Linked DNA regions of Drosophila melanogaster. The protein of the gene in region 1 purifies or fractionates together with the protein of each later gene. This does not show direct contact. Each region holds a gene or a part of one and is shown in the gene's direction. Other genes may lie near its edges. The genes, in order: Trl, Bap55 and ken.

Evidence for each region.
Region 2: the proteins of Trl (region 1) and Bap55 purify together in Drosophila melanogaster (affinity purification with mass spectrometry; 2 studies listed by BioGRID, with this or other methods). This does not show direct contact.
Region 3: the proteins of Trl (region 1) and ken purify together in Drosophila melanogaster (affinity purification with western blotting, with the first as the bait; one study listed by BioGRID). This does not show direct contact.

Annotation. Positions count from the first base shown.
Region 1 is NT_037436.4:14,754,565-14,761,578, reverse strand, and holds the start of Trl (Trithorax-like), read left to right. Parts: upstream 1-3,616; 5' UTR 3,617-3,737; exon of another isoform or gene 3,738-4,095; intron 4,096-4,242; exon of another isoform or gene 4,243-4,248; 5' UTR 4,249-4,483; coding exon 4,484-4,675; intron 4,676-7,014. Other genes in the region: Tsen34 (tRNA splicing endonuclease subunit 34), read left to right, coding at 27-287, 505-612, 675-1,000. UniProt on the Drosophila melanogaster protein: Transcriptional activator that functions by regulating chromatin structure. Overcomes the repressive effects of chromatin by promoting the open chromatin conformation in promoter gene regions, thereby allowing access to other transcription factors.
Region 2 is NT_033778.4:17,426,939-17,433,952, reverse strand, and holds Bap55 (brahma associated protein 55kD), read left to right. Parts: upstream 1-2,989; 5' UTR 2,990-3,112; coding exon 3,113-3,311; intron 3,312-3,390; coding exon 3,391-4,233; intron 4,234-4,292; coding exon 4,293-4,528; 3' UTR 4,529-4,600; downstream 4,601-7,014. Other genes in the region: EDTP (Egg-derived tyrosine phosphatase), read left to right, coding at 1-533, 598-762, 823-1,179, 1,245-1,380; Lhr (lethal hybrid rescue), read right to left, coding at 1,789-2,793; Mtap (methylthioadenosine phosphorylase), read right to left, coding at 4,912-4,950, 5,010-5,789, 5,860-5,910; CG6550 (uncharacterized protein), read left to right, coding at 6,532-7,014.
Region 3 is NT_033778.4:23,867,012-23,874,025, forward strand, and holds the start of ken (ken and barbie), read left to right. Parts: upstream 1-3,261; 5' UTR 3,262-3,860; coding exon 3,861-3,869; intron 3,870-7,014. Other genes in the region: Mtpbeta (mitochondrial trifunctional protein beta subunit), read right to left, coding at 1-752, 809-983, 1,042-1,201, 1,451-1,514. UniProt on the Drosophila melanogaster protein: Transcription factor required for terminalia development. Negative regulator of the JAK/STAT pathway: represses JAK/STAT-dependent expression of ventral veins lacking (vvl) in the posterior spiracles.

The DNA of each region.
Region 1 (7,014 bases):
CATTTTTACTATTTCTTACTTTTTAGCTCTGCCCGTGGAGCTCAGTAAATTTGAAACCCAATTGCTTTTGGATGAGAATATAGCAAAGTTAGTTGATAAATCCAAAGATCTAAAGGCTAAACCCACTGCCGAGAAACTTGAGGAGTGCAAGGCGGATTTTGAATCCCGGTTACTGGGACAGGAGGAAGCATTGAAAACGGAGAAACTACGGGAAACTGAACGATACATGGATAAGATTCTGACGGGAAAACGCAAGAAGTTGCTCAAGCAGGGCAAAAATGAATTGGGTAAAAGAATATTACTAGAAAATAAATATCATATATGTATGTCTAATATTTGGTATAAATAATATGTCTAGTAGGCTGTGGGATTTCATCTACATAAATGCAAAATTACGTTTCTCCTGGCCTAAACTTCAAATTTTAAACTGAGCTGTCAGCGTACTTAAATCTAATTTTATAAAATGTGCATGAAAAAAGAATTATCAGATAACTTCACTTTTAGCTGCCGCTCTGACTGATAAGGATGTACTATTGGAGATGTCTGTGAATTTCAAATTCGATCGCCAAAATGCCTTGCTGGAGGTGCATTGTGAACATCCCACGGATCACTGTAGATACATTAAAACCAATATCTCTCGATAAGTAATCTTAATTCAATTCTACAACCAACAGCTGCGCAAATAGTTACCGGTCCCATTGTGCACACCAATTCCCTGAAATACCGCGTTTTCAAAGATCTGTGGAGGCGCGGAAAGTACGTGACTTCCGGCGATGCATTTGGAGCGGACTTTCTGGTTTACCCCGGCGATCCCATGATCTACCACGCCTCCCACATTGTAATTTTGCACGAGCAACCTGTAATTAAGCCCCTGGAACTGATAGCAAAAGTTCGTCTATCGGTAATTGTCAACAAAAGCTGCGTTTTCGCCTACGAGATGGAAAATAATGAGGAAGAAATACATTACCAAACGGTCGCATGGTGCAATCTTGGAAAATGAGGAAATCACAGGCAAGTACATGGAGCAAAAAACATGAAATGTGACCATAAAATTCTGACAAAAATAGTCTATTATGTTATCCATTTAATTATTATTCTAAAGTTGGGTTCTAACGTTAGAAAGTCTAATGGGTAGAGATTAACACTTTAGTCACCAACTTTTATTTGTTCTGAACATCTGTGACGCATTGATACGATTTTGGGCTCAAGGGAGGACATCTAATTTCGACCAGTGTATTTTTTTTTTTGGCTCCAAAGAATCTTATTTTTTTAAGACTGAGCGGGAGAGAGTGGGCTTTCCGTGAGCACGGGTTTTGTTTTTGGCGCCGAATTGGGTTTATTTTTTAGTGGAAATTGAATACAATGCCGGAGAAACTACGCTCCCGCTCCGTCCCATTTCCCCACCGCTCCTCCCCTCTCTGGCGGCCTCTCCACGTTTCGCCGTCCCGCTCTGAGCGGCAGGAGCAGCGCCAGAAACGGTTTCTCCCACTCACAGTTGGAAATTGTACACAGTGCACATGGTAAATCGGTTTATTATGACCACGACATCCAACTCGAGATGTTTGCTCGCCACTCCGTTCAGGGTCCATTGTTGTGGTTTTTAGGCGGGAGTCATTCGTCGCTTCCCATTAAATTTTGTTAAATGAATTAGTTATACAAAATGAGGTTATAATTCGATGGCCCCCATCAAACGCCAGAGCACACATACATACATATGTATGTACATACATCTATAGGCAAGCGGCGATAGGCAAATAAGTCGCATACATTTGCGTATTTGTTTTCAACAAATTTGTGCTGAATTCTTCATGTTTTGCGTTCGTTTCAAGTATATTCAGTTTTTTTTAATAGAAACAACGTGATAAGGCGCGGTGGGGAAGGCCAGGCAAAAGTCGTGCCGCGCCGTTCGAATTTCAAACAGTCGAGCTGGCGCACGGTGGGACAAAAGCGTTGTTTAAAAGTTTTAATGTTTTAAAGTTTCATACATTTTAATAAAATACAAAAATTTAATTTGAAAATCTTTAACTAACGTACGGCCAAACGCACTATAAAAACTAGCCAATGGAAAAAATAGTCCAGTAACGCTTATACAATTTGTTTACAAAAACCAGTTATACAATGTATTCCAAAATTTTACATAGTAATTCTATTCCTACCACTTATGTTTTGTATCCCACTGTGCTTGGTTTGCACTCATTCCTCCACCTCTGCCGAGTCACCCACCACCAACACCCCCCAGCGCGCACGCTCTCCCTCATTCTCACATCATGCTCCGTTGGTTGGTATTGCCAGCTACGAAACATGAAACATGCTCACTGCTTTAACGCCGATTGGAACTTTAAAGGGGCATTTCGAACGGCATTTCTCATGGCCCCTTCCCTGCCCAGCAGCATCATAACAGAGAAAATTGTAATCTTAAAAATTTGGACACTCGCTCACTTTATATTACTTTCTTCTCTGAGCGTTGGCTAGAAGTGCCACTCTCCTTCTCCTTCAATTCCAAATTCGACTAACTTCCCTATCGCGGGGTCTCTCCGCTCTTAAGCTGGACTTGATCTGCATACGAGAATGAGACTGGCTATATGTTTTTACCCCGTAGGGTCTCGGTCTCTGAGATGTGTCAAAAGTAACAGGTGATTGGATTGGATTCGAAAGGAGAGAGGAGAGTTAGAGACAGGGGAAAGAGAATGTAGAGCGTAAGAGCGAACCGGCTTTTCTACCATTTGTTATTATTACTTTCACAGGATCTGTTAATATTTCGGAACCGAAGAGAAACCCAGTCCCGATACATGTCTATTTTAATCTAAACCTATCAGATTCTTTTGATTCCTGTGTAACCCTCAGTAGCATTACACTTGTTCCCAGAAAAATGGAATCTGGTATCTTAAAAAGAAAACTGAAAGTAATTTATTCTGAACCCAATACCCTTCTAGATTTTGGTGATCAAACATAATAAATTGTTAGATTAGGGACTCGTTCTACGAAAATCTGCTTATCGATTTAATCATAGCTAATGTTGGAATTTATTTTTAATACAATTGCTCGATACCTTAGCTAGAATAATTCAAAAACGTTCTGAATTGTTTATCCTTCATTTTTAAACTGTAAAATTTGAGCTTATTCAGAGTGGAGTAGTATAAGAAAATGTTGAATATTTTGATACCGGATCCGATAGTTATAGAACCGGAACCTACGGATCCCGTTGACCTTTTTCTTATCGCACTCTGATATTCCAACCGGTCGGACACATGTGTTTTTCATCCGTGAAGTCGGCCCAGAATATTTCCATCATTCAATATTTACCACCTTTTATAGTTTTGTTTACTATCTTGCCGACTTTTTTGTCTTGCCGTCTTGCTCTCCTCTCCATCCTAAAAATACTCTTCCTGCGCTCCATCTGGCAATGCCGCTCGACAACTGTACTTCAAAGAGCGTTGCCAGGCAGGTCACTTCTCTCATAGATACACAGATACAGGCGCGCACGCACACCAGCACGCAAAATAACCACCACCAGCAGTACAGAAATTACACATTTTCTCCCCGAGTAGAGAACTGAAAAACTGGCCGCGCTGGCAGCGCCGGAGCAGCGAAATTCGATCGAAACCATTTACTCAGTCTCAGTTCGAGTTATCCAACGTTGGCGAGCGGACAAACAAGCAGGAGAAAAAAGCGTACGGGCAAGAGAAAGAGAAGGCACAAAATCACCCACAGCCACTGAAATTTTCTTTTGCGCTCCGGTGAGAAGATAATTTCACAAACCAAAACCGAACCAACAAACAAAAAAAGTGCGCTCCGTGAGCGGGAAAACAATAACAAAATCAAGAGACATGCGATTATAAAACGAACAAAATAACTGAGTGACAAAAAAAAATTAAATGCGTGTCTCATGGCTTGACTGTACTGTGTATTAAAAAATGTGATTGTGTCGGCTGTCCGTCTGTCTGAGTTTGTGCGCGTGTGTGTGCTGTTGGCGTTTTTAAATGTGGCGCGCTATTTTTGTGTGATTTTTGTGGGCAGCAACGAATTTTGAAACATCAATTGTATACTAGTTGTCAGTCCCCTTGTGAAAAAGTCTTCTCCAACAACAAAATTCCTGTGAGCAGCCTACACACATGCGTTGTCTCGCTCTCGCGCGCTCTGGCCCCCAAAGAGTGCGAGAGCGGGAGAGTGAGACCGAGAAAGAGAGAGAGAGAGAGAGAGCTAATAACTAACGTCTGTACTCTTTTTCTTTTCCATTTTTCATTTCAGTTTCGAGAAAGCAGCGCGCCAAGCAGCAAGAAGAGGAAGAGCAAAGGGAGTTGGAAAAGCAGTGGCGTCGTGGAGGAGGAGTAGAAAGGGGATTTTTGCGAAAAATCCCAACTTGAAGAGAATTTTCCCCGTAACCGTTAAACATTAAATCGTCGTGTTGGAGACAAATAGCAGCGAATACGCTAGCAACGCTGGGGAGGAACAACAATTGTTGGATTTGGACGCGACCGCTTTGATGTCGCTGCCAATGAATTCGCTGTATTCGCTCACCTGGGGCGATTACGGCACCAGCCTCGTATCGGCAATCCAATTGTTGCGCTGCCATGGCGACCTCGTCGATTGCACGTTGGCCGCCGGCGGGCGGAGTTTTCCCGCCCACAAGATAGTCCTGTGCGCCGCCTCCCCCTTTCTGCTGGACTTGCTAAAGGTAAGTGCTCGGTTCGGAAACACTGCCTAAAACACCTTTCAATAAGAGAGCTTGTACATAACCTCAAACGTTTCGTACAGTTTGTAAACAGAGAAATCCAATCGCAGAAATAGGTTAATGTTTGGAGCGCAGAGAAACTGACACTCGCACGCAAATGCATACATATGTATAAATAACGCAGATTTACGCTCCGCTCCAAAAGTTGTCTAGAGATTTTTGTACAAGTTTTCCACTGTCAATTGAGTTGAATGAGTGGCTCCGCCCCCCGCATTCCCGCCGTCTATCTTGCTTATCAGCTTTTTCTTGTTGCAAAGTTCACCGGAGAACGAGAGAGTGAGACGTAGAGACAGAGCGCAGACAGAGAGGGAGAGAGCGAGAGAACCAGTTGGTTCGGTCGACAGAAAAGTGGTTTTGGGCCCGGTGGTGTAACAGAGAGGGGAGAGCCGAAAGCTGGTGCGCCAACTTTTAAATCGCATGTGTTAGAGCGAGCGCAAACGAGAGCGCCAAAAGCAGCGCGGCAACTGTTGTAGTTGTTGGATGGTTGGAGCTTTCGTCTTGCCTTTTGGTTCTTGCTGTTGTTGGGTGCACACGAGCGCGACCTCTTTCTTCACAGACAGAACTGTACAGTTGGCTCTGGCTAGGGGGAACTTGAAATATTGGGGGGAATATGGATACATATACAAAGATAATTAAAATTAAATTTGTATTGATTGGTTTGATTTCCTTAACCCATTTCCTAAGCTAAGTCTTTTGTATTTTGTATGTCACCATTTTAGATTGCTAGATTGATTGTCTAACAGCAAACTTCGCTCAATTAAAAGTTCCTGGACTTTAATAGACTTATCTACTTCAAATCTTTATTTAAACTTATAACATAGTGACCAAGTCCAGATTGTACCAAAGATAAGCAAGCCTGTCTGGTGCGCTTCCCTCGTATCGAATCCAACCCGTATTTCTATAAACTAAAGCATTTCATATTAGGAAGGCGCACTTTTAAATGGAGCTTGCAAGTTTTTTCATGAGCTGTATTGCGATACTGTACTTTTTAACAACTCATTTGCACTTTAACTTTGACGCTTTTCCGCCACTCTGTCGATTGTTCAAAGTGTGCGCTTAAGTATGAAAGTTGGACCGTCTTCAATGCGTGGCCCTATCGTAATGGAAATACTGACCAAAACAGAGCGCGGCCAGCGAAATGAAAACACCTGATGCGACGCCGACAGCGGCTACTCTGCGCTTCGCTCCCCCTTATTCTCAGCGCTCCTCATCTCTCCTCTCCTTTTCTGGGCCGTGAAAAAGTAAACAGAGCGAAATTTTTGAAAACGCCGCTCAGAGCCGTCGTGGGGAAATGTCAAAGAAAAAAAAAAAAAAACAAAAAGAACGGGACCAATGCGGCTGTGAACTCTGCAAGAGTCCGAAAAGTACAAGATGTACTGATCTCGTTACACTCACACACGCACGCAAAAACACATGGCGGTCGCTCTTTGTTGCTCTTGCTCCCTCTCCCTTGCTCCTACGGCAAATGGAATGCAACTCTGAAAAATCGATGAGCGAGACTTTGGTTGGAGGCAGAGTTCAAAGAGCGCAAATGGGAGTGCGGTGAGATGTGTCATTTCAAGAGATTGGCATTGGATGAAGGGAGGGTGTTGGTTGGTGAGTCCGTAAATGGAGAGGGGTTGTTTTCTGAGCAATGCTATATAATTAAATGTTTGGAGCGGGAGCGGGAGCGGGAGAGGACACAGAAGAAGAACAGCTAAGCGCTCTTTCTTTAAGCGCTGCTCTGTTTTCTTTTTCAGCATCTGAAATCTCAAAATCCTGCTGCAGAATGTGCAGAGCGCGCAAAAGTAAAAGCCGGTTGTCTTTTGTCTGTGTCACTGTGTGCGTGAGCGGAGGAGAGTGTGAGCGACGCGTCGCACCGCGAGTTTCCATTATTTCCATCTCCGTCCGACTGTTTTTGTTATTGTTTTTATTTGGATTGGCGGACGGACGAACGGGCCTCTCAATTCACGCCAAAAATGTGAGACGATTTCAAAACAAACACAACTCTCTACGATGAAGTTCGAGCCAAGAGAAATGTTGGATGAAGAGCCTACGAACTTTGCAAAGTGTCAAGAAGTTTTTCTTATAGAACATTTTTAGATTTCAATTAGAAAATTTCTATAACTTACTAGAAACCGGTTTTGGTTATCGTACATACCTTAAACAATAGAGAAATATTTATATATCATTTAAAATCAATTTATCTTGCCCTATTCTTAATAACTCCTTTTAATCTCATTAGTTTTACTTATATAAATACAAACTTATCAGCTCTAAATAAATTAGATTATATATGTCTT
Region 2 (7,014 bases), on another chromosome or scaffold:
AATTACATGGCTCGCAACCTGCACTACAACTGGAAGCAAACGTTCAACGATGCGAATATCAACATTCCCAACATGGGACCCGCTGCGGATATCGATGTGGCGTGGTCGGAGTACCGGGATTGGGATCTGGTGGCAATCACCCAAAACTATTTGAGAGCTACACTGAAATACGTGCAAGAGGAAAACTCCGGCCTGCTGATTCACTGCATCAGCGGTTGGGATCGCACGCCACTGTTTGTCTCCTTGGTCAGGCTGTCTCTGTGGGCAGATGGACTCATCCATCAGTCGCTGAACGCCATGCAAATGGCCTATTTCACACTGGCCTACGACTGGTACCTGTTTGGCCATCAACTTCCCGATCGCCTGAAACGAGGCGAAGACATCATGTTCTTCTGCTTCCACGTGCTGAAGTTTATCACGGACGAGGAGTTCAGCATTGTGGAGCACCGCAAGCGCACCAAGACATCCAGCAGCAGCGGCAGTAGTGTAATAGTAATCAAATCCGATTGCTGCGACGATGAACCGCTCAAGGAGTGAGTATAGCCAAAGACACTAGAATTATAGCCAAGTATTGTAAATGAACAGTACCATTATCAGTCCATTTACTTTGAATTGCAGAGACTACATCCTTTCGTTCGATCAAGATAGCAACGACAGCTACTCAAACTGTTCCAACTGTGATATGTCCATAACAGATAACTTCTATGCCACGACGCCGGCGCAAGTCAATCCGTTGACCAGCAGGTCGCCAAATCCGAAGAGGTTGAACAGCTGAATACTAAAATTAGAAACCTGACTAACTGTGAACTCAACTTGTTTTAGATCTAGAACCAGCCCCATTTCAGTGCCCGGATCAAATGCGCGGCAAAGACAGGAGTCTACATCGTCCAATGGTAGCTGGCAGGTGGTTACCGACACGGGTTCAATTGACTCCATGATGAACGGCAGCTACATGATGCGCTTTGTGGCGCAACAGGCAGCCGATGGTGGCGGCTCCTCAAACATTCCTTTATGCAATGGCGGCAATGGTTACCACTGCAGCATCAATGCAGCATCGAGTGGCAGTGGGAGCGGAAGTGGTAGCAGTATCAGTAACGGCAGCTCGACGCACGGTTTCGCAAACGGTTCCTCCAAAGACGTAGGCGGCAGCACTATGGCCAGCAAGCAATGCATCAACTTGTAAGTTGTAGTCTGATTATTCGACAGCAAATACATAATGACATAATTTTGTTTTACAATTGGAGACGAAAGCAACGCCTGAATGCAGTGCGCGCCATTTTTATACAAGCCTACGGCAAGACGATTGGACTGAAATTCAAGGAGGGCTCATCCATGAACCTGGCCACGTTCATTGGGAACCTGGCGGACCAACTGTTTTGAGAAAGGATTAGCAGCTATGACCGTTTGTTAGATTTCATCAACATTGTTTGTTTCTTGTTAAGTGCTACGCTTTCAACCAACGACTGTATTTATAGACCTGTTAAATTGCGTTCTTTAGTATCTGTTGACGATTGTGTAGTGTAACGGATTACTGATTACCGATAAGCATCGAAAGAACCAGGCGATCGTAGGCAACGAGCAAACAAAATCCTGTCGTCCTTCTGCCCCGGCTAAACCGCTCTCCTGTTCTCTAGGTTCTCCCGCTCCTTGTTTGTTTAGTTATTAGTTCTTCGAGAATGCAAAGCAAGTGAAATATAAAATGCTATTTGGATTATACAATAGTTTTAAGTTGTAATTTATAGTAATGTATTTTTTAATAAACTTATGTGCATTTTATACGAAAGAAAGTCATGTTCTCAGCGTAGGCCGCCTTGAGCGCCGTATTCTAGCTAAGGGTAAATAATCATCAATTTCCACTCGCTTCAGCCGGATGCGACACCTTTTAATGTAGTATTTCGCGCTTTTAAGAGGAACGAAGCGTGGTGTTTCTATCGGTCGTTCGTCACATTTTGTTGTATCTTTAATTTTAGGTTCAATAGCTGTTTCTATTTTGATTTTGACATCATTTGATCCTTTGCAAGCATTATTATATCTGATTCTTTTATTGGCACTTGCGACATTGGGTCTTATTTTGTGTGGGCTAATGCCGAATCTGTCCATGGCCGGACTGAGTAAATTGTCTGCTGGGAGCTCTTTCACCCGTATCGCTTTAAGAAATTCGTCGTATTCGCTCTGAACCGTCTCCAGGTCCTTAGGACCCAGCTTTCGAGTAGCTTTCTCTTGGCGCTCTTGCTCCAGGATGAGGGCGAGGACCTCCACTTCTAAATGCCGGCGTTCCGCTTGCGCCATAGATTTCACGAAAGGCAACTGACTGAGAAGAAACTCCTGACACTTGGTTTTCGGCACATCCGCCGGATTCGGGGCTTGCATGCGAATGTGCACATCGTGCATCACCCGCCACAGAGGTTCAGGGATTTGCCCTTTGGAACCGGCCAAGGCTCTGACCAGCGGGCGCAGCTTCACCCAACGCAGCTTCAGTTCACTTACGGAGAACGGAGTACTCAGCTCAACGTGCTCGTAGCTTTGGTTAAAGGACTTGGCCAGCTGATCCCAACCCCAGGAGTCGTAGTCAACGTCCATTTTGGGCTCCACCTGCGGGATGATAAGGAAGGGATACCGGGCGAGCATCTCCATGAGCAGCAAGTCGTTTAAAACAATCTGGCCGCTGATGTTGGTGTTTGATATGTTAATCTCCAAATGGGGAACAGTGGAATGGATCACCGTTTCCTCGGCGCTGTCGGTACTCATTTTAATATTTTTCGCACTGTGTTTCTCCAACGTTCTACAACACATTTGTGTACTAATTCATCCGTATGTTTTAATATACCACTTAACGGTAATTTCTTTAATAAAATCTATGTTTTTAGAATCCGAGTTTTAATTTGTGTTTGCTAACTAATAGCGATGGAAATTGTTTGAGAACAGCAATCGATAGGTAAGCGACCAAAGCGATAGGTAGGAAAATATTTGGCTTAAACAATCGATAACTTATCAGACCATCTCCAGCGAGGAAGAAGCGTCGTGAAAAAAGCCGCAAAATATACACAGACGGAAGTATTTTCGCGAATTACTTGAACACAACGTGCGAAAAAAATAATCGGAACGCCCCAATATGAGTGGCGGCACCATGCTATATGGCGGCGACGAGATCGGCGCCCTGGTCTTCGATCCTGGACATCATTCCTTGCGAGTGGGCTACGCACAGGAGGATTCGCCCAAGGCGGAGATACCCTCGGTTGTGGGGATTGGAGCAGCTCCAGAGACCAATCTCGATCCGGAAACTAAAACAGACAACAATGCCACGCCAAATAGTTAGTTTCTACATCGCCTTTATTTAGTTTATGGCTTTTAAAAACCCGGAAAAACCGGCAATCCCTACCCCTACTCTAGATGCTGACCAGCGCAAGTTCTATGTGGACACCAACTACGTGACCGTTCCCCGTTCCAATATGGAGGTGCAGACCTATATGAAAGACGGCATGATTGACAACTGGGACCTGTTTGAGAAGGTTATTGATTATGCCTACGCCAATGTCATTCAGTCGGAGCCGGAATACCATCCCGTGCTCTTTTCCGAGGCATCGTGGAATGTCCGCAACAACCGCGAGAAGCTAACCGAGCTTATGTTCGAGAAGTACAATGTTCCAGCCTTCTTTCTGGTAAAGAACGCCGTTCTGGCTGCCTTCTCCAGCGGGCGGGCCACCGCTTTGGTTGTCGATAGTGGAGCCACCCACACCTCGGCCGTTCCCGTCCATGAGGGCTATGTCCTATCCCAGGCGGTGGTTAAGTCACCCCTGGGTGGAGACTTCCTTTCACGACAGTGCCGCCAGCATCTGGAGAAGCACGGCATTGATCTGTCGCCGGTATACAAGATTGCCTCCAAAGACGTTGTTAAGGAGCGCGACAACGGACGCTTCACGCTGCGCAAACTGCCAGAGAACCTAACTCAGTCGTGGCAAAACTACATGTTGCAGCTCATGATGCAAGACTTTCAGATGAATGTGCTGCAGGTCCTAGAAAATCCGTTCGACGAACGGGTTGCTGCTCAAATCCCGACGGTACACTATGAGTTTCCTAATGGTTATCATCAGGACTTTGGCTCTGAGCGGTTCAAGATAGCCGAGAGTCTCTTTGACAATGCAATGCTGGGAGCTGGCCAATTGGCGTCCACCAGTGTGGGCATGTGTGATGCGGATGTGCGGCTGTCACTTTTCGGCTCAGTTGTCGTTACTGGTATGAATTTTCCCTAGGTTTTAAAACTAATTACTTATACCTTAATATTTTGCTCTTAGGTGGCAATACCCTTCTGCAAGGCTTTCCGGAGCGCCTAAATCGCGATCTCCAGCTGCGTGCCCCCTCAAATACGCGCCTAAAAATGATTTCTGCCAATGGCAGCGTGGAGCGAAGATTTGGAGCCTGGATTGGCGGCTCTATTCTAGCCAGCATAGGTACTTTCCAACAGATGTGGATATCGTCGCAGGAGTACGAAGAGGCCGGCAAGAGCCAAGTCGAGCGGAAGTGTCCGTAAGGACAGCGCAATCGAATTCCAATTTTAATTTTAAAGACGCAACTCTATGTAATAATATAAATGTGAAATGTGAAAAGTGTCCCATTATTCAGAAGACATCTGAGCGTTTGTTTAGGAATAGATTGCATTTGATTACGGAAATGTTTTTAGTTACACACATATGTATATATTTACTGCGACGCTGACGCGGACGTTACAGTTTCACATTTCAATGGAGTTTTCACCGGCTGCCTTTTGTCTTTCGGATCTAATTCGTACGTAATGGATATGGAGTGAACTCTGGGTCCTCGCTTTTTGTGGAACTGTTGATAGAGCGGTGGCACATAAATCTTGCGGCGAATCAGCGTCTCTTCTGTTATTTCGTGGCAAAGTTTTATAAATCGTCACATGGCTCCAGACATTGTGTTGTTGCAAACGCATTGCTATGGGCGGAACACATGATGAACTTAGTTTTAAATGATGTTTATCTCGGCTCACTCACCTTGGCATTTAGTATGTCCTCCGACCAGTCCTCCTTGGCAATTCGACCAACAGCGTTGACCAGAATCTTCTTCACCTTAATTACGTTCTCGGCAAAAGTACGGAGGACATCCTGCACGTTGACACCCTCGCAACCCATGCGCCAGCAGTCGTAGTCCGTGGCAATGGCCACCGACCCGTAAAGTAGGCCAGCCTCCTTGGCTAGCACCACTTCTGGACACGTGGTCATGTTTATGAGGTCCCCGCCCCACTGACGGAACATGTGGCTCTCCGAGCGAGAGGAGAAGCGCGGACCCTCAATAGTCACAATGGTGGCCTTATCGTGGGCGGGAATCTCCAGCTCCTTGGCCGCCTGAAGCAGAATGTTGCGGGTGCGTTCGCTGAATGCCGGAAACATGGGCAGGTGGCAAACACCACGTGGACTTTGTGCCTTGCCATCGTAGAAGGTCTGAAGGCGTTTAGTAGTCCTGTCGATAAAGTCGTGTGGAACAACCAGGTTGCCCGGCTTGATTTCCTCGCGCAACGATCCACATGCCGTGGAGACAATTAAGTGGGTGCAGCCCACATCGCGTAGAGCCCAGATGTTGGCCCGGTAGTTAACATTGGAGGGCATGATGTCGTGCTTGCGTCCATGACGCGCCAGGAGTACGCACTGTACTCCATTGATCTCGCCTTCAATCAATGCATCAGACGGTTCTCCGTAGGGCGTCTCCACCACACGTTCCTGCCGCTGTTCCAGGATATCTGGGTCGTCAAGCCCCGAACCGCCAATAATACCAATCTGTGGGTTATTTATAGTTTGGCATTGAACAAAATGGGGTGCTTAATTTTTGGACGGACTACGAACTCACCTTGACCGGAAGCGGGTCCAGATTGGTGTCTTTACATTTAATCGTAATCATGGCTAGCGGAGGATTGTGCTTTTACAAGCTGCTGTTGCGGCAGTCTGGAGCAGAGTAGAATGTTCCCGCTGATAGCGTACTGATAACTGTGTGTCTACACGGTAGGGTGCATAAGCCGCAAAAGCTCGGGCATATTGAAATGACACTCAGCACGTCGTCGTGGGTGTGTAATTATGGTAATTGAATTATGTTTGCAAAATTTTGATTTTAAATCTTATAATAATAGTTATGACAAATTAATATTTATAATTATTCATTTTAGAACAAAACTAATCATTTGATAAAGAATCAAATCAATCAAAATTAAACTAACAAAGCCCTTCTAATTATATTTATTACAACTTATATCCATATCAGTTCCGAATAAAGAAAATAGGAAATTGGAACATGGAATAAATTATTTATTGTATCATTTATATAACAAACTTAATTTGTATGCTTATTTTGTAGGGTGTCTAAATGTGACAGCCGACCCTGTTATCGAGCCGTTAGTCGGGTACCCTACCCGTATGCACTTCACAACACTGCCTGAAGTGAAGAAGAAGAAATCTGAATGTAAACAGCTGGAAGTGCGGCACATGTGTTTTGGCATAGAATCTAAAACAAGGAGAAGGAAAAACAATGTACCACCTTGGACAGGATCTGCCAGGCAACGATGTGGATGATATAGAGGATCTGATATCCGCCGATGATGTCAAGCCGCGTGAGCGCTACGAAAACAAAAAAACCGTTACGGTTCGGGCCAAGAAACGATCCCAAATTCGACTTGAATCTCAAGAGGAGGAGGAAAAGCCGAAGCCCACGATCCACGAGAGTGTCATACCCGGCACCCAGAAAGTTTTTGTGAAAACATGGGGCTGCGCCCACAACAATTCGGACTCGGAGTACATGGCCGGGCAGTTGGCTGCCTACGGATATAGATTGAGTGGAAAGGAGGAGGCGGATCTGTGGCTGCTCAATAGCTGCACGGTTAAGAATCCTTCGGAGGACACTTTCCGCAACGAGATTGAGTCGGGAATGCGAAATGGCAAGCACGTCGTGGTTGCCGGTTGCGTTCCCCAGGGAGCTCCCAAATCGGACTATCTGAACGGTCTTTCCGTAATC
Region 3 (7,014 bases), on another chromosome or scaffold:
AGGGCCTTCAGATTGGCCACGATCTGTCCGGCGAACGCCTCGTGGATCTCCCACGAGTCAATGTCCTTCAGCGTGAGTCCAGCCTTCTTGAGCAGCTTGGGAATTCCGTAGGCGGGTCCCAGCAGCAGCTGGTTGACGGGATCCTGCGACACGAACAGGAAGTCGCGCAGATAGGCCTTGGGCTTGAGGCCCAGCTGCTTGGCCTTCTCCTCGGTCATGATAATGCAAGCAGAAGCTCCGTCCGTGAGGAAGGAGGCGTTGGCTGCTGTCACAGTGCCGTAGGGCTTCACAAAGGCGGGCCTCAGCTTTGCCAGGCTCTCGGGACTAGACACGCGGATGCCGTTGTCCTTGTCCACGATCTGGTCCACGCCGGACACCTTGAAGGGAACCAGATCGGTGAAGTAGCCCTTCTCCTGGGCCTCCTTGGCCAGTGTGTGGGATCGCAGGGCGTACTCGTCCTGCTCGCTCCGGGATACGTTGAAGGCGGATGCCAAGCGATCGGCCGAGTGTCCCATGGTCTCGCCGGAGGAGAACTCCGCAACGGCGGGCAGCTCGGGGGCCAGGAAGTCTGGCCTGAAGGTGGACAGCAGGGCCAGCCGCTGGCCCAGGGTCTTTGCCTTGTTGGCTTTCAGGAGCAGGGAGCGCATCTTGCGGGAGTGGCGAATGGGCACATCGGACATGAACTCCACGCCGCCGGCAACGATGACATCGTAGGTGTTGGTGGCTATCAGACCCATGCCCGTGGTGATGGCCTGTAATACATGGGCTATAGATTCAAGCTCCGAGGAACTTTGGGCGAGGCTCTTACCGCATTGGAACTGATGCAGGCCATGGTGACGGTGTGGGCAGGTGTCTTGTTGCTGAATCCAGCTGCCAAGGCTGCCTCCCTGGCAATGTTGGAGGTCTTCACCTCCTGGATGACGCTGCCGTACACGATGTAGTCGATGAGCTCCTTGTCCAGGCGGTTCTTTTGCAGCAATGACCTGTTGAATGGGGCGGGGTAAGCTAATACTCCAAGGATATTGGGGATTGTAAACCTACAAAAGCGAGTGCCTGGCCAGTTCATGGGGCATCAGCTTGGAGTAGGTGGTTCCGGAGGTCAGAAAGGGTGTGCGGACTCCATCCACGAGCACGATATTCTGGCTGTTCTTCTGCTTCGGTTGTGGATTCGCCACAGCGGCCGATAGAGCGCGGCATTGAACTGAAAAAGGGTTCCGGATTCGGGATTATCCTTAGCACTCTCGTTTCGCGTTATTTTTAATCATGATGTACCCATACATTATCTTTGTCCCGCAAGACGTCACTGCGAATTCGAGTTTGGACTTTGGCCCTTTCAGATTCAATCGGCTGCTGCTGCCACAAATCGTTATGAATTATCAGAGCCAAAGTCCAACTGGTGCAGCCCGTGTTTGGAATGGGGCATACTGCAACACCCGCACTATTAACTCACCTTTCCTGGCGACATTCAACAGGTTGAAGGCGTTACCCTTGCGGCAGACATTTTGAAGGCTCATCTTGCGAAAGTTTTCTGATTTCTTTTCTCGCTTTTCTCGTTGTTGCGACTGCAGCTGTTTGGCTAGTGATGAACATGAACGCCGGATCGCGGCGAACTATCGGTTATCGAAAGCTGATGCATGAAAAGCTTTCGAACTGTAAATACCCTTTCTGAGGATCTTACTCGTAGATCATAAAGCATGACAGCTTGTAAAATTCGGTAGATCTTCATTTCCAACTTTAGATATATTTCTTGGTTATATTTGAATATACAGTTCTAAATTTTTTAGCTTCTGAGAATCGTTTACTATTCCTACACCATTCACCTTCATTCAAATGTATGCAACGCAATCTGGGAGTCCCATAAAGGAATAGATTTCTCCAATGACCTTGATCTTGATTATCCTATTAAGCGTGCTGTTTACGATGTCCATCTGCGCTCTCATTCGTCACCTACAGTCTGTATACCCTTTCCCACAATGGAAGACCATTAACCATGTCCTTGAACCGCAATGCAAGTGATAACTGTAGCAGGCAACTAGCTGTATGCAAATGGGCGAAAGAAAGGATTACTTCCAAAGGCCACTCTTGCAGTACTGTATAATCTTACATATTAGATGTACATCCAAATTTCTAAATTTAAACTTTAAATAGATTATGAATAAAATGCAGGTCGTTTTGGAACCATTGTTAGTTTCTCAATGATTTGCATACAAATTCGTTTCACTGATTGCTTTTATTGCTAACGGCACAAATTAGGTTCAAGGACGAATTTAATGGTTTCCTATAATGGGATAGCAAAGGGTAGGATGCAAATGTAGGCGGCGTGTGCATTTCAAATGAGCGATCGTAAAGGACTTACAAAGGAAGCAAATAATGGAAGGATGACGGCTTATTGGGGATCAAGGTGAAATTTCTTTAGCATGCCAGTAAAATTAATGTCTACGTTTGTACAGATGCAAATTGAGCATTGAGATTTTCTACCCTTTTTATTTATATATTTTTTATTTAAGTTTAAACAAGTTTTTTATTTCAGTTGTAGAACATAATCGAAAGCTCACATTTTGTCGGGAAATGTCCAAAGCTCCGCCTCCGCGAGAGACAGTTACAGTGGGTGAACAAAGTATATTAACAGGTGAAATGATCTCCGTGATCGCTGGATCACTGTAAGGAACCGTTATTGTTGTTGTTGCTGGTCGGTGGGCTGTGGAGGTGACGCCACCAGTAGGAAGTCATCAGAACCAGGACCAGGACACGTCAGTGGCAATGGAGCTTCACTCAAATATTGCTTTCGTTCGGCGATGGGCTGGATGGGGATGGTGGTGTTGGTACTGTGGGCGCGGATTTTAAAATGTTCTCCGCTAACTTCTTGATCATCAGCGCCATTTGTCTACGCGACGTTGGGTCTGAATCGTCAAAATCGCGAGCCTCTATAAGGTCAGCCCAAAAGCGTAAGCTTGTTACAGTTAAGTTCTTCATGTTGGACGTGAATCTTAATCTTGTGAAATAACGAAAGATACGCCAAATGGAAATCTAAAAAGCCAATACAGATCTTATTGCTGTTTTTATCGATAATATAAATGGTATTTTTATTGATTGTGTCTTTTTACATTTTAGCTAATATTAAACTAAATCATGATTGGAACATAAATAATAAATTACAAGGTAGCTTAGGAGACTTAGAGAATGCTTTTCTGTTATCGATATCGGTATCGATACATCGACCGAGCAGCGCGCCGCAGCGATCGTAATTTCTTTCCCGATCCCGCACAGTCAAAAAAAAAGGCTCCGAGTGAACGGACGTGCGCGCGCGCAAACTGAAAGTGTAAGCACAAACAGAGCGAAGCAAAGCAAGGCAAAAGCAAAAGCAGAAGCTGAAATCGAAAATCGAGAGAGAGGCAAGAGATCGGATTCTCCGTACCGCTCCCACTCGCAGTCGCGCTCGCGCCAGAAAAAGTTTTACCAATCAAGTTTTTTATTTCGCAATAAAACAAAAAGAAAAAACAAAACTTCAACCTAGTTAAAGTTAATGTTGACGTTGTAGTTGTAGTTGTGCCGTTGTAGTGAACTTTAGTGAGTGTGTGTGTGCTTGTGCGAGCGTTACCAGTGTGTTGGTGGATATTTCTTGCGTTGCGTCGCATAAAAAGCAGAAGAGGCAGCAGGAAAAGCCAAAGAGAAATTTTAAAATCTGCTCCTGTGAAAATATAAACAAACCATGGTCAATGAAATCGAAAGTTTCCACTAAGCAAGCAGCCAGCAGTAAATGGCCGATCGCAGGGATTAGGCGATCAGAACAGAAAGTGCGCAAGTGAATAGCAGTGACTATATTCATCCTGGGATTAACCAACTGCTGAACATCCAACTTAATGAAAGAGGTAAGTCTGCCGTTCGGCAGCAAGCTTTTCCCCGAGATTTTCATCATCTTTGGGCATTGCAACATCGCTGAGATAGATAAAAGTCGGGGTTGGGGTTTTGGGTCTGCGATACGTGTGTGTGGCTTGTGGCTCTTTGTGCACCTAAGCACACAAAGCAGCCAAGGTCAGAAACTAACTTAATAGTGGTAGAGAAAACAGAAAACAGAAAAGCAGAAAACTGAAAACATTCCAAGCTCGGTTTGGATCGCATCGCATCGTATCGTATGGTATCGTATCCAAAACTTTGCCTCGAAGCTTCGGTTCGTGGCGATCCAATCTTCGTCGTCATGAACATCATTAGCACTGCAACAACAACTGAACCCAGAGGAACAACAACAACTGGAGACAAGAAAGGCTTAGTGACCTTCATCGCGTGCTTTTGTCTGCGTAATACCGTCCGTGTATTGGTGCGCTCGTATGCATGTCATGGAATTTGAAGACACATATCTGCGTACATATGTACGTACATTGGCGCACGCACTCGACCAACTTAACTGCTTTCCAATAAGAGTGAAGGTGAAAAAGCACAGACACTCAATCACACACACACATGCATGCGGTTACACGATCGCGCAGATGTTACAAAATATGCTGTTAGCAAAGCCACGGGCGTGGGTTTCTCAGCGTGAGGGGGATTTTAGTTTAACGGGTCGTGGGAGGGGGTGGGGGAACTTGGAAAGGCTATTGTGAGGAGATCTTTGATTTCCCCGTTCTGTTCGCCTTATCTGGCAAATACATATTTTAAAACGTAGATCCGTTGACGGCGTCTACGAAACTAGCGCATTGCAAACCCCTCACGGGCCCCTTTCCTATCTTTCTCCGTATCGCCCAGCTTATGGAGTTATGCAATTCAAATTTGGGTCACTTTTACGAGTGTAGCATTTACAACAAGTACGAAAGAAGACAACGACGGCGACGGCGACTCTTTGCCATTTTCCCTCGCTTCTTTTCGGATCAGCAAGTCAAAGAGCTTTCGTGAAAGGGGAATGGGGAAAGGGGCAGTGGCAGCGCGGGAGAGAGCGGGAAAGGAAGAGAATGCGATGCGATGGAGCGACAGAGACAGAGAGGGCAGGAAAACGAGTTTGAACGCGCGCTCCGCTCCCTTTAACATTTTACCTTTGCGCGAGCTTATAATACTTTCAAAACCCCGCGTAGCTTTCTCTTTTGAGGCCTTCGATCGGATAAGATCCGTGCGATTCCAGTTCCATTTCGATTTCCAGTTCCCCCTTCCCTCTTCACCCCCCGCTCCCGCTTCCGTTCCCTTGCCATTCTCTTCCACTTGGAAATAGACACATGTGCTTTACATTCGTAAACACTCACGCAATCTGCACACTCACACACCAACAAACCCATACACCGACACCACAATGCGCAGGGGAAAGAGTAATTGTAAAACTACATTTACATTACATGGGAACGATGACGACGACAAAAATCGGAAAGTGTGGAAATATACAAACGATTGCGTTCTCCGTCTGTATGTCGCTATGTGTGTTTCGTTGTTTAGCTTATACCCCGATCGTTGGACATACAGACACACATACACAGCATAGAGAGGAGAAAAGCTTTTTGTGAAAGGTGATTTTATGCGCGCATTGTGAGTTAGCGCGTTTTGTTTTCGTATCGCCCTCCCCTCGACCCTCCTCCATGTCCGCCTTGTCCCTTTCATTCTCATTTCCAGTTTGCAAAAGTGTGCGTGCGAATGTGTGAGTCTCGCGAAGAGAGCGGAGAAATGTTGGGAAATACACAAACACATACATACGTACGGATCCCTAGCGTCTTCCATTTAAGGAATTATTACCATGAACTTTCACCTTTTGATTGCCTTAAATGCTGTAACGATCTTTAGTCATGCTCTGCTCGTAAGCAAATTCAGATTCGATTGCGAAATCCGCCGAGAAACTTGTAGAAAGTGAATGGCCCTGATTCGTGGAAGCATTAAGTATACAAGCACACACACTCATAGATACATGCATATATACATATGTATGTTCCGTCAATACCGCTTTGGAATTTATCTAGCGTTAGAATGAGCACACCAGATCCCCCCTTTCCTGCCCCTGCTCTCCCCCGCCCTCTCTTCAGTGGCAGTGCAAAAAGCGAAAAATAAAAGATCCATGCTCAGCTTTCGCTTGCCATTCCCAAGCCAAATACAACATTCCCATTTCCATTCTCTTGCTCTCCGCCAAGCCAGTCATTCAAGTTTTATTGAAAGTGAACGTTTCGTTCGTCTCCATGCTAAAGGAGTGGTGGAGCCAGGGGGCTGGAGCGGGGATTGGTGGGGAGAAGCAGCAGAGCGTAACAAAAAGCAAGACTATCTTTCCGAAGTTTTTCGTTTTTTCCGTTTTCGAGATCTGCTGCTGCTGCTGAACTTTAGCTTCGCTTTTTGGTTTATTACTTTTCGTGGTGCCATGCAGACACTCACTCACACTCGCGCAGCCGAAAAGAGCTTACAAGCCATGCTCTTGCACAATACAATAATGGTGGCCCCCCAGCAAACGCACACACTTACAAAAGCCCCGCTGCACTACACTTCCACGCAAACGCGACAGACCTTACACAGATACAGTCAACTACACAGAAAGAAAGGGCAGCTCGATGTTACACATTTTACATTATTTTCAAACGACTTCTATTATTTGCATCTTTTTTTTTGGCTAGAAAGTAGTTTACTTAACAGCTCTTCAACCTTACAAAAGCTGAATTTGATGTATTAAGCCTACCATTTTCATCCACATGTAAATGATCCATCCAAATTTGAATGGCACATTCACCTGCATGTTATTATTATACATAATAGCATGGCATGATGCCACATTTTTCTGCCTGTGCACAACGACACAATTGCACAGGCCAGCGAATTTCAGTGTAACAATTTCATCGCATAAAAGAAACAGCAACAACAACAACAGCACATCACAGCGGGAAAGCTTTTTTGGAGGCAACACCATTACCACAAACAACAACACGGTGGAGCTCTATGAAGTGAAGCTTTCATCTTTTCCAACAAAGCACACACACACACACACACATGTATGACGATTGTGGGTTGCAGTATTACAAAAACACCAAGTACAGAAAAACCTAAAAACCTGATTAGTAAACA